Ovis aries: one gene and its partners. The protein of the gene in region 3 interacts with the protein of the main gene of each other region in a pairwise test. Links are inferred from orthologs where the notes say so. Each region holds a gene or a part of one and is shown on either strand. Other genes may lie near its edges. The genes, in order: ABI2, TRIM9 and VASP.

What was found.
Region 1: the proteins of VASP (region 3) and ABI2 interact in binary tests that used the Homo sapiens proteins (3 or more experiments, as listed by UniProt). The link is inferred for Ovis aries from reciprocal best matches to the Homo sapiens genes VASP and ABI2.
Region 2: the proteins of VASP (region 3) and TRIM9 interact in binary tests that used the Homo sapiens proteins (3 or more experiments, as listed by UniProt). The two-hybrid records come from large-scale screens. The link is inferred for Ovis aries from reciprocal best matches to the Homo sapiens genes VASP and TRIM9.

Annotation. Positions count from the first base shown.
Region 1 is NC_056055.1:205,328,342-205,332,087, forward strand, and holds the start of ABI2 (abl interactor 2), read left to right. Parts: upstream 1-1,332; 5' UTR 1,333-1,370; coding exon 1,371-1,487; intron 1,488-3,746. UniProt on the Homo sapiens protein: Regulator of actin cytoskeleton dynamics underlying cell motility and adhesion. Functions as a component of the WAVE complex, which activates actin nucleating machinery Arp2/3 to drive lamellipodia formation.
Region 2 is NC_056060.1:42,182,500-42,186,245, reverse strand, and holds the start of TRIM9 (E3 ubiquitin-protein ligase TRIM9), read left to right. Parts: upstream 1-1,552; 5' UTR 1,553-1,743; coding exon 1,744-2,565; intron 2,566-3,746. UniProt on the Homo sapiens protein: E3 ubiquitin-protein ligase which ubiquitinates itself in cooperation with an E2 enzyme UBE2D2/UBC4 and serves as a targeting signal for proteasomal degradation.
Region 3 is NC_056067.1:52,901,980-52,905,487, forward strand, and holds the end of VASP (vasodilator-stimulated phosphoprotein), read left to right. Parts: intron 1-12; coding exon 13-113; intron 114-644; coding exon 645-696; intron 697-857; coding exon 858-894; intron 895-1,115; coding exon 1,116-1,161; intron 1,162-1,314; coding exon 1,315-1,405; intron 1,406-1,938; coding exon 1,939-1,996; intron 1,997-2,120; coding exon 2,121-2,158; 3' UTR 2,159-2,974; downstream 2,975-3,508. UniProt on the Homo sapiens protein: Ena/VASP proteins are actin-associated proteins involved in a range of processes dependent on cytoskeleton remodeling and cell polarity such as axon guidance, lamellipodial and filopodial dynamics, platelet activation and cell migration.

The DNA of each region.
Region 1 (3,746 bases), on a different chromosome or scaffold from region 3:
GACTGGAACATTTTCAGTATCCTTTAACTTGGGTTACACAGAAAAAACTCAAAACAATTTGCCAATGTGTATATCAAAAAGCCAATAAAACAATAGGAAAGCATTAAAGTGATTTGAGACAGTAATTTCCTCATTATCAGGGGAGAAAAAAAAAGGAGGGGCAAAATCACTAGGCGGGCCAAGAGATCACAAATACAAGACTTGAAATAATAGATCTTGCTCTAAACTGCAAAGGCAGTCAGCTTTGACTTTCCATGGTACAAATAAAGGTCATGGACTTTATAATATCTCAGCAGTTGTCAGAAATTTCAGTTTTTAAAAATTACATGTGTGGAGTAGTCAGATTTAGGGGAAAAAAAATATACAATACAGAATAGTAACTGCAAGACCAAAATGGTCTACCTTGAATTTTTGTGGCATTTAACGTTTTCCAAGGTGCTTTCATATAAACTTTTATCCATGTAATAGCCCTGTGAGGAAGGAAAGTACCAGCAAAATCGTTTTTTAAACTTTAAATCCTTAGTAGATGAGGAAAAAAGTTGATAGACTCAGGAAAGTGATAAAAACGATTGTCACTGAAGAGTAGCACAGAGCAAGTGGGAAAAGCTGAAGGCCAGAGGATGGGCAAAGGAGAAAAGAACCGAGGCTAACCTGGCAGGGGAAACTGTTGATTGGCAAACAGGTGCAAAGAAGCTGGAGGGCAGGAAATTTGGGATTAGGAAACTGAAATTTATTTATCCAAAGAGGATGAATACGGTCAAAGATGAGAAAAATTAAAAGTGGGGCGCAGTTAAAGCTGCATGGGAGTTCAGTGGGGCTAATATTATCCCTCAGGCCCACTACCATAAGGTTGGGCCCCAGGTTGAGGATAACGCCGAGGAAAGTCGCTGAAGAAGCGGGCGGGAAGACCGCAGAGCCGGGTGGGCGTTCACGCCGGACTAACAAAGGCCGCGGGGTGCACTGCCCCAGCCACGCATCCTGCGGGGGCCGAAGGGTTAACCGCGAGCTCAACTCCCGCGCGCATCCCGGCCCCCACTCCCGCGGTCGCTAGGAGACGCCGGATGTGGGGGAGGGGCGGGCGGCGCGACCAAGGGTGGGAACCTTTTTCGGGCTCCCGGGGGTGGAGGGAGAGGAGCGCGCGTGCGCGCGCCGGGCCGGCCGTCGCCGCGGTGACCGTCCTCCGAGTCCATCGGCTCGCGCCCCGCCCCCGTTCCCGCTGCCCCCTCCCCTGTCGCGCGCTCAGGGGGTGTTTCTCGCTCCTCCCGGGTTGCCGCCGCCGTCGCCTCGGCTCCTCCTCTCCTAGTCTTGGGTTTCCCTGGCGCTACTGCCGCCGCTGCCTCTGCGGTCTGTATGAGGAGGAGGATGTGAAGATGGCGGAGCTGCAGATGCTGCTGGAGGAGGAAATCCCGGGGGGCCGCCGGGCCCTCTTCGACAGTTACACGAATCTGGAACGGGTGGCCGATTACTGCGAGAACAACTACATCCAGGTGCGACGCATCTGCCGGCCTGGGCGTGTTGGGCCTCTGGCTGCTGAGCGGCGCGTGGGGGACCCCCGGCCCGGGGGCCGCGCCTGGGGGCGTAGGGCACACGGGGCCGAGGCCGCAGCAGGGACACAGTGCAGCTGAGCAGGGGTAGAAGCAGGGTGGGAGCGGGAGAATGGGTGAGAATTCTCCGGTTGGAGGAAATTGTAGCTTTCAAGCATTTTTCAAAAGCCGTGAATCAGTTCTCGGTGCGGGGTGTGTGTGCGTGTGTGTGTCCCCGCCTCCTCTCTTCCCTCGGCCGCCTCCGCAATCGGTGCCGGTCAATTTTCGCGATGGCGGAGGAGGCGGAGAGTGGCATTTTCTATTTGACAGAATCCTACTCCCCCATATGGCAAGGATTTGGGGTTTAATGGGTCGCCCCCAATCTCTGGAGGATTTTTGAGGCGCTATATTGCTGCAAAGTAAAATGCCGTAGCTTTATATTCATTTGAATGTATCAAAAGCTCAGCGTGGTTTTTTTGCCTTGTTTTTAGGTTCTAACTGAGGATACAGTATAAGAGCAGCTGTCCCCCTTGTTGGAAGTTAATGCCAGTTTTCTTCTCTATGGAGAATGAGAAGCTGCATGATAATGGTTTATTCCCTTCTGCCACCCGCCTCCAAGCCCGTTAGAAATAGCTAATTTGCCTGCAGGGAAATTTTTTGTGATTATCTTTCAGAGAGAAATGGGAAATAATTCTCACGGTTTAAATTTTCCGTGATGGTTGGTTTGGCATCGGGACTCAGTGATAGCACTGTATGTTTGTGTATGAAGGCGGGGGGTATTGGGTGAGATGAAATTGAGCCTCTTCTGGAAGAAGCAAGATTATGTGATTAAAAACAATTCTTTTTAAAAAATTATTTGAAAGGATAGTTTAAGATGCACAGTTTGCAAAGTCAGCATCTTTTGTTTTCTTTATAGCTTATTCTGAATCATAGGTTCTACCTCCATCTTTTCCCTTCCCATTTAAATTCTCTTGGGATATAGGTGGAAATGGAAGCAATGTGTTAAATTGTTCCTTCACTATGGCCTTTTTTCCTTCTCCCACCTCCATCTCTCCAGGCATCTTTCCTAACATCAGCTATATTGGGAAGCATTCTCAAGTCTTGGTGTGAACCAAAGAAAAAAAAGGTGTTAAAATTTATAGGTTCATAAATTTTGTAAGGATCATATGGTTAATCAAGGATAGTGTTGTAAGATATTACTTGATTGGACATATCCTGAGCACTATATTTTCTTGTATGGAATATTTGTACTGGAGAATGAATCAGACATAATCCAAGGCTTTTCCCTCCAAAGAGAAAGTTGAAAGTATGGCCAGCAGGAAAAGATAGAGTGTGTCTTGGGTCAAAGGCTCATATAGACAGTACAGATGTCCATATTCATGGGGTGCTTTGCTGATACTGAGTGTGGTAGGAGAGAGTAAAAGGTTGAGATGCTTAGTTTTCACTAAATATATTTGAAAGTGTAATATGGCCTGGCATTGTTAAGAGTTGATAGGTAGCTAGTGTCTACAGAATTTCATTGTATAGTTAGTGGGAAGGCTGATCTTTAGCAGATGAATTCCATTTTGAGCGTCAGTTTATATTCTTAATGGGCTGCAGGTGGGAAGAAGGACTGGAGGAAACTATGCTATCCTCACTCTGGAAATTCAGAGTCTCTAGGAGAGGCAAATTAAAAGGACTGAAGTAGTCGTTACAATTCCTTGTGCAACATATGGGAAAGAGTTACAGGTCTCAGAAGAGAAACAGGGTGGAAAGTGATTGGGTTGCAGTTATCACTGCTAATTTTTTTTAAAAAAGTTCTCTTTGTTTGGAAGATAATTTTTATTGTAATTTGAAGGTATAGTTCCTCTTAGGTTGCAGTTGTTACCTAAAGGTAAAAGTACCTGAGTTGATAAAGCTGAGAGAGTGAAGCGATCAACCATTGTCATCACTATATTCCTTGCGGTTCAAAGGAGAAGAATGTTGCTGCCATCATTTGTCTTAGCGGTGGGACTCAGAATTTAATGCGGTGTTTTAAAATTCAGAATATAAGTGCTGATTAATAGAAATGGATTTGGATTTTAAAATACCTTGTTTCTTCAATTTAGAACCTAAAATAGGTGCTATTAGGATCCAGTGGGTATATTATTGGCGTTCTCTCAACAGATGACAACTCGTACATGATTTGTTTGTAGTAAAGTTGATAAATAGAACATGGTGATAGTGGATTTGTGCTGACTCAGC
Region 2 (3,746 bases), on a different chromosome or scaffold from region 3:
GTCATCTTTTTGGAAGATGGAAAATTGGAAGATTTGTTAAAACTTGGAAAGAAATTTTGTCATTTACTTCACGAATCATTCAGCAAAAGGCAGCCATGTGCTACTTGAAATAAGTTACTACCTCAGCATATCACCATGTCACTTAACTTAAAAGTGGATTTGGGGGTGTTTTTTTTTTTTTGGTCCTCCATCCTGGGTTTGATCCCTAGGTCGGGAAGATCCCCTGGAGAAGGAAATGGCAATCCACTCCGTACTATTGCTTGGAAAATCCCATGGACAGAGGAGCCTGGTAGGCTACAGTCCATGGGATAGCAAAGAGTCGGACACGACTGAGCGACTTCACACACACACATCATCATCAGATCAGCAGTTCTGCAAGCAAGGGACAGGACCAGTTATCTCCAGCGATGACTGGGGAGAGAGAGAAGAGTGCTTAATATTTAAGGACTGACACTAGAACTACCCTGTCCCGCCCCCATCCCCCCATCACCATCACCTTATGCACTTCACTAGAAGAAACAGGAAGAACCCACCATCCTGGAAGCTGTGGTAGACGCTATTTGGTGTCACACACTGAGACTCTGCAGTGACACAGTGATCCATTTACTGAACTGTGGGCACTCAGAAATAAGCAACCCAATCCTGCCTCAACTGAACCAGATTCTGCTGCTCTTGTGGAAGCTCGGCCAGGTGCTGACAGCATGGTGAGAGGATAGCTTTGAGGTAACCGGGACTGAAGTGGGGATATAGGGACACAGTCACATCACACCGTAAGAAGCCTCTGGGCCGAGTTTGTACTGACAGCGTGAAATGAAGGGGGCATAGATTTTAACTAGTATACTGAGCTTTACGTGAGTCCCTAGTTTAAGTCACACAGCAACTAGGAAATCGATAGTCAGTCCCCCTTTAGACAGCAGGAACTAGGACAGAAAGAAGACAAAGAAGAGTTGACTCCTGCCAGGGCTCAAGGCCTGTACCATCGGGTCCCCGGAAGCTGGAGCGCAGGGACCGGCTTTCGCGGGTTCCTGAGCTGGGGAGAAAGTCCCCGCTGCGGTACAGAAACCGAGGTCTGGGTGAGGCGCCAGCAGCGGAAGGAGAAGGGCCGTCTCCTCTGTGGTGCAGCACCCGCCGAGGGGAGGTCGGCGCGGAGACCATAGCTGCAAGCCAAACGCAAACGCGGGCGACAGGCATCAGCCCCTCTGCCAGCCCCCTCCCTGCGAGGAGGGGTTTCTCACGCTCCGTTCTCGGGAGACTGAGCCGGAGGTCGGAAGGAAGAGGGGCGAGGGATGAGTCATCCCGCCTAATTCCTCCTTCCCGGTCCCTTCGCCTCCGCTTGCCGGCCGCCTCCCGAGATCATGCAGCCGGGAATGAAAACTCCCCTCATCCTCAGAATCCTCCACCAAACCCCCTGTGACCGGCAGAGAAGAGGAGAAGGATGGGGCATATGGCCAATGAGAGCTTCGCTCTCTCGCTCTCCGTCCAATCGGCCGCTGTTTACAGGCTGGGGCGGGACTAAGGTGCGAGGAGGGGGCGTTCCCGGCTGGCTCTGGGCGCCGAGGTTCGGTGGCTCTTAGAGAGAGCGCCTCGCTGGGAGTCGGCGCCTAAGCGACGCGAGAAGGCGCCACTGCCAAAACCACCGCCGCCACTGCTGGCCAAGGTGCTGGACACGACAGGCCAGCCGGCCACCTCGTCAGCTCAGGCGCCCGTTGCAGCCGCAGCTGCTTCGCTCCCAGCCGGATCCCCATGGAAGAGATGGAAGAAGAGTTAAAATGCCCCGTGTGCGGCTCCTTCTATCGCGAGCCCATCATCTTACCCTGCTCTCACAATATATGTCAGGCGTGCGCCCGCAACATCCTGGTACAGACCCCGGAGTCAGAGTCCCCCCAGAGCCGACGGGCCTCGGGCTCCGGGGTCTCTGATTATGACTATCTGGATCTGGACAAGATGAGCCTGTACAGCGAGGCGGACAGCGGCTATGGCTCCTACGGGGGGTTCGCCAGCGCCCCTACTACACCGTGCCAGAAGTCCCCCAACGGCGTCCGTGTGTTCCCCCCGGCTATGCCGCCACCGGCCACCCATCTGTCACCGGCCTTGGCCTCTGTGCCCCGCAACTCCTGTATCACCTGCCCCCAGTGCCACCGCAGCCTCATCTTGGACGACCGGGGGCTCCGCGGCTTCCCCAAGAACCGCGTCCTGGAAGGGGTAATTGACCGCTACCAGCAGAGCAAAGCGGCTGCCCTTAAATGCCAGCTCTGCGAGAAGGCACCCAAGGAAGCCACCGTCATGTGTGAACAGTGCGATGTCTTCTACTGTGACCCGTGCCGCCTGCGCTGCCACCCGCCCCGGGGTCCTCTGGCCAAGCATCGCCTGGTACCCCCGGCACAGGGCCGCGTGAGCCGGCGGCTAAGCCCACGAAAGGTCTCCACCTGCACAGACCACGAGCTGGAGAACCACAGCATGTACTGCGTGCAGTGCAAAATGCCCGTGTGCTACCAGTGCTTGGAGGAGGGCAAACACTCCAGCCACGAAGTCAAGGCTCTAGGGGCCATGTGGAAACTGCACAAGGTAAGTCCTAAGAAAACCCACCCCTAACTCCCCGCACCTCCGATCCTCCGTTTTGCAGCAGATGACACTTCCCCCCCTCTTTTGCGCACAGTGCATCCCAACGGGAGCGCAATGCAGGTGCCTCCGATATCTGCTTCCCCCGTCTGGTGCATTGCAGGAAGCGCAGGGGGACCTTAAACGGCGCACAGGGGAGTTGAACCTCTCCAGAGAGTTGTTTCGGGGATGCGTAGAGCGGGTCTCCCCGGGCACGCTGCCTGCGAGCTAGGCGCAGGGCGCCCCCTCCCCGCCGCAGACGTGCAACTCTGGGCCGCCACCAGCGAGTAGGAAAGCGATGCGTTTACTGGGCCGACCCGCGGCTGTTCTCAGGGACGCTCCAGGGCAGAGCCGGTGTGGGGCTCCAGCCGTGATCCCCGGGGAGGAGGTGGGGGCGGTTGGGTGGCGCGGACCGCTGGGTGCGGAGCTGCTGAATAGGCTGGCGCCTGGAGTCGCGGCGGGGGCGGGAAACACGCTGCGAGCGGAATACTGATTAGTAGGCGCTGGCCCATCCCAGCGTCCGCGCTGGAAGGATGCGGATCCGGGTGCTTTGCGCTCAGGAGGTGTATGAGTGGGGAGTAGGGTGGAAGAAAGGAAAAAAAAAAAAAAAAATCCTGTAGTCGCCATGGCAACACGGCCGGAGGCTGAGGCCCTGACCCTCGCGGAGAGGACGTGGGCTGGAGGAGCAGGACCGGAGGTTTCTGCGCGGTCGCGGCCTGAAATCTAGGCAGGTGCATCTTCCAGTTTCTCAGGGTAACCCCTCCTATTGACCGCCTACACACCCGTTTGTCCAGAATTCAGCCGTTTTCCTTTATCAGTAATTGTCTGTGCAAACTTTGAGACACCTGTTACCAAATTTATCTTTCTGATGTCTTTTGATGGCACCGCCGCCAAAGCTAGCCTCAAGAACAGGGCCTTTAACAACTTGTTAGGTCATGCCTCTCCCCTGTTCAAAGGCCTTCCGTTCCCCCCACGTTTCTTAGACAGTCCTTAGGAAGGTCCACCAGGACCTCACATGACCTGTTTTCTTTGGCCTCACCGACCTTATTTCCTCCCACCCCCTCTGCTTGAGCCGGCTGTCCCTCTTGCTGTCCCTCCACAAACACCAGGCCCCCCTGACCCCAGGGCCTTTGCTTCTGATACTCCTT
Region 3 (3,508 bases):
TAATTTCTCCAGCAGGAGGAGGCTTCAGCGGGGCCCGTGGCCCCCAAAGCTGAGAGCAGTCGAAGCACGGGCGGAGGCCTCATGGAGGAGATGAACGCCATGCTGGCCCGGAGGTGAGCCCGAGCTCAGAGCTCTCAATGGTCTTGGAAAGCTCTCAAAACAAACCCCTCAACCCAGCAGTTATCACCTGGAGATTCCGGTTCAGTAGGACCAGGTGTGGGGAGGGCTCAGATTCCTGGTTAGTTTGTTTCGTTGGGTGAAAGTTCATCCTTTGACAGCCAGGTTTGAGATATAATGATGGGGACTGCATTCTCCTGAGATGACTGAGGTTTGCAACCCCCTAGGTAGCCTCTGGAATGTTCTGGAACCCAGAATTGTAGGACCTTAGATGACCCCACCTCAGAAGCTGGGGACTCTGCCCTGAGAATTTTGTGATTCCCAAATGTAGGAATCCTAAACGCCACCCCCACCCCCTCATTCGAGAACAGCACTCTCTTTGACTTCTAAAATTAAAATGTGCTTAGCCTTGATGAATTCCAGAAGTCGGCACCCTAGGACCCACTTTTCCAGAACTCTGGGGAAGGGAACTATTGAGTGGCTGAGAGGGGACAGAAGCCATCTGTTTCTGCCTTTCTCTCTCACAGAAGGAAAGCCACGCAAGTTGGAGAGAAACCCACCAAGGATGAATCTGCCAATGTGAGTTAGGGACCCTTCCTGCCTTATACACCTTAGGATGTACCATTAGAGTAGGAATATTGGGGCGGGGGCTGTGATAGGGATTGGCTGTGTTTGAAGGTGGAGGAAGAAAAGGAGCAGAATGGCCATGTCTGGCTCATGACAGTTTTATTTCCCACCAGCAGGAGGAGTCAGACGCCAGAGTCCCAGCCCACAGTGGTGAGTGAGTGAGAGCCCCCTCTAGTCACAGGAACTACAAGTCCCAGGATGCCCTCTTCTCATGTATAACACACCTTCATGGGAGAGTCTGTACAGATAATCCTGGGGATTGTAGTCTCCTGAGATGGTTCTTTGAATGGGGGTTGATGAGGCTCGGGAAGAAAGGCTGAGGCAGGGCATTCCTTGTTCCTGATCTTTTTGACTTATTGTCTGTCCCCCAGAATCTGTGCGGAGACCCTGGGAGAAGAACAGCACAACCTTGCCAAGGTGGGCCATCAGTACTGGGGCCCCACCCCTAGAAAGAGTCGGACTTGCCAAGTTTGTAGGGAGGAACACAGAGTGACCCCTGGAATGGGAGGCAGGGGAGGCAGACCCTCTCTCTAACCTTGTTTCTGCCCCACACCACGCCACCTCTCCCAGGATGAAGTCGTCGTCTTCAGTGGCCACTTCCGAGGCCCACCCACCTACGCCTAGCTCCAGTGATGAGTCAGACCTGGAGAGGGTGAAACAGGTAGGGGAGGGGACTGGGGGTGAGGGTTAGGGGATAGAAAGATCTGGGTCTAGACTCTGCCACTGACCTGCTATGTGATTCTAGAAAAGGCCTTGGAACCCTCAGCTTCCCAGTCTGAGTACTGGAGAAATTGGATCGTGTCAGGGATGACAGACCCCATAACCGCCTTGTACAACGCCCATGACAGACCTTGCTAACATCACTACACTCATTCCTGGTGAATATCCAGAATCCTTTTCCGCACACTGGCCGCAGACATTTATCGCCAACCGGAGTTGGCAGGAGACTGGAATGTCTCATTTGCCAGCCCTGGTACTGGATGTTCTCCATTGCTTTTCTCTCTGGTTCAGAGGATCCAGAATTCTCCTCTAGAAATCTCAGTCACTTTGTGGCCTGGCCAGTGATGTCATGGTGTGTGTGCGATACGGGTCTTGACCCTCCTTCCTCTGGCCCCTCAGTCATTAAGAAACTGGGGATTCACTTCTGCAAGTCCAGGTACTCTTCCTCATTGGTTGTACCCCCATCATTTTCAGGAGCTTCTGGAAGAGGTGAGGAAGGAATTGCAGAAAGTGAAAGAGGAAATAATTGAAGGTGAGGTGTTTTCCTTTTTAAGCATTTATTTATTTTGGAGGCATGGTGTCCCTTGGAACCTTGTTTTGGAAGGGAGAAGGGGAAGAGGCTCTGCCCCTGACCTCTGCCCACTGTTTCCTTCCAGCCTTTGTCCAGGAGCTGAGGAAGCGGGGTGCCCCCTGACCACAGGGCCCCAGAAAATCCAGTTTCTCCTTTCTGCATACCCCCTCCACCTGTCACCCTGCTTTCCCTGCCTCGACTTGGAATTGGCTGAAGTCTACACAGGAATGCATCGTCCCCACTCCCTATGTCACTTGGAAAATTCCAAGGGGTGTGGCTTCCCCAGCACCGTGCCCACACCCATATTGGCTGCTGATTGGCTGGGGAAGCCCCCACCCTTTGTTCCCTTTGATCCTTCCCCTCTGCCATCCCCTTGGGGCTGGTTCCTCTGCTGGGGATGTACCAAGTAACCCCACAGTAAGGGGGAAGGAAGGAGGGAATTTCACATTCCCTTGTAGATTCACTTTAACGCTTAATGCCTTTGAAGTTTTGTTTTTTAAGAAAAAAAAGTATATATATATATATATATTTAGGTTTGTTGTGGGGGGAGGAAAATTTTTTTTTCTCTTTGGTTTTGATAAAATGGGGTGTGGGAGTTTTTAAATGCTGTGTCCCTGGCTTGTCCCATTTGGGACAGCTGTGTAAGGAGGGTTGTCCCACCAGGCTGGGGGTGCCTCCCCCTACCCCAGGGACCTCCCTCCCTTCCCTCTGTCTCCTTCCCCTTTTCTATGAGGAATTAAGATGCTGTAACTTTTTGGAACCTCAGTTTTTTGGTTTTTTATTTGGGTAGGTTTTGGGGTCTAGGCCATTTTTACCCCCTGGGGATAAACAAGATAAGGGGGAAAGGAGTAGGGGAGGAACCTCCCCTCTTACCTTCACCTTTAGCTTCTTGGAAATGGGCCCCTGCGGAATAAATCTGCCAGTTTTTATAAATGCTAAGATTTCTGGTGTCATTTGAATGGCTGCTCTCATGAGGATGGGCATGTCCCTCCCTCCCTCAGTAATCCACCTTCCCTCACTTTCCTCCTTCCCACCGGAACCTGCTCCTCTGCCCCCTCTTGGCTTCCCGGTGCCCCTCAATGGGCAGCTTCCTTACTCCTTTCCACCCAGCCCTAGAGAAAGCCAAGGGCATCCCTCATTGACCGTTTGCCCTTGGGCCAGACCCTTTGGTTCTCCTGGACCTCAGTGTCTTTGTCTGGGAAAGGACTCGAAGGTTGACTCAGGCCTTCTCCCACCGGGAACCCTTCGAGCTTCTAATTTTAGTGAGCCTTGTACCAGTTGGCAGATGTACATCATGGTTCTCAAGACACTTTCTTAAGATGACTTTTTTCCCTCCAGAGCTCCTTTAATTATTACAATATTTACAGTCTTAAAAAGTAGCATTCAGGAATCAGAGGTCATACACACCCCCCTCTTCGGTGGTTCATTGGGTGGGCAGGGGTAGGTGAGGTAGCCTGGTGGAATTATTCCATT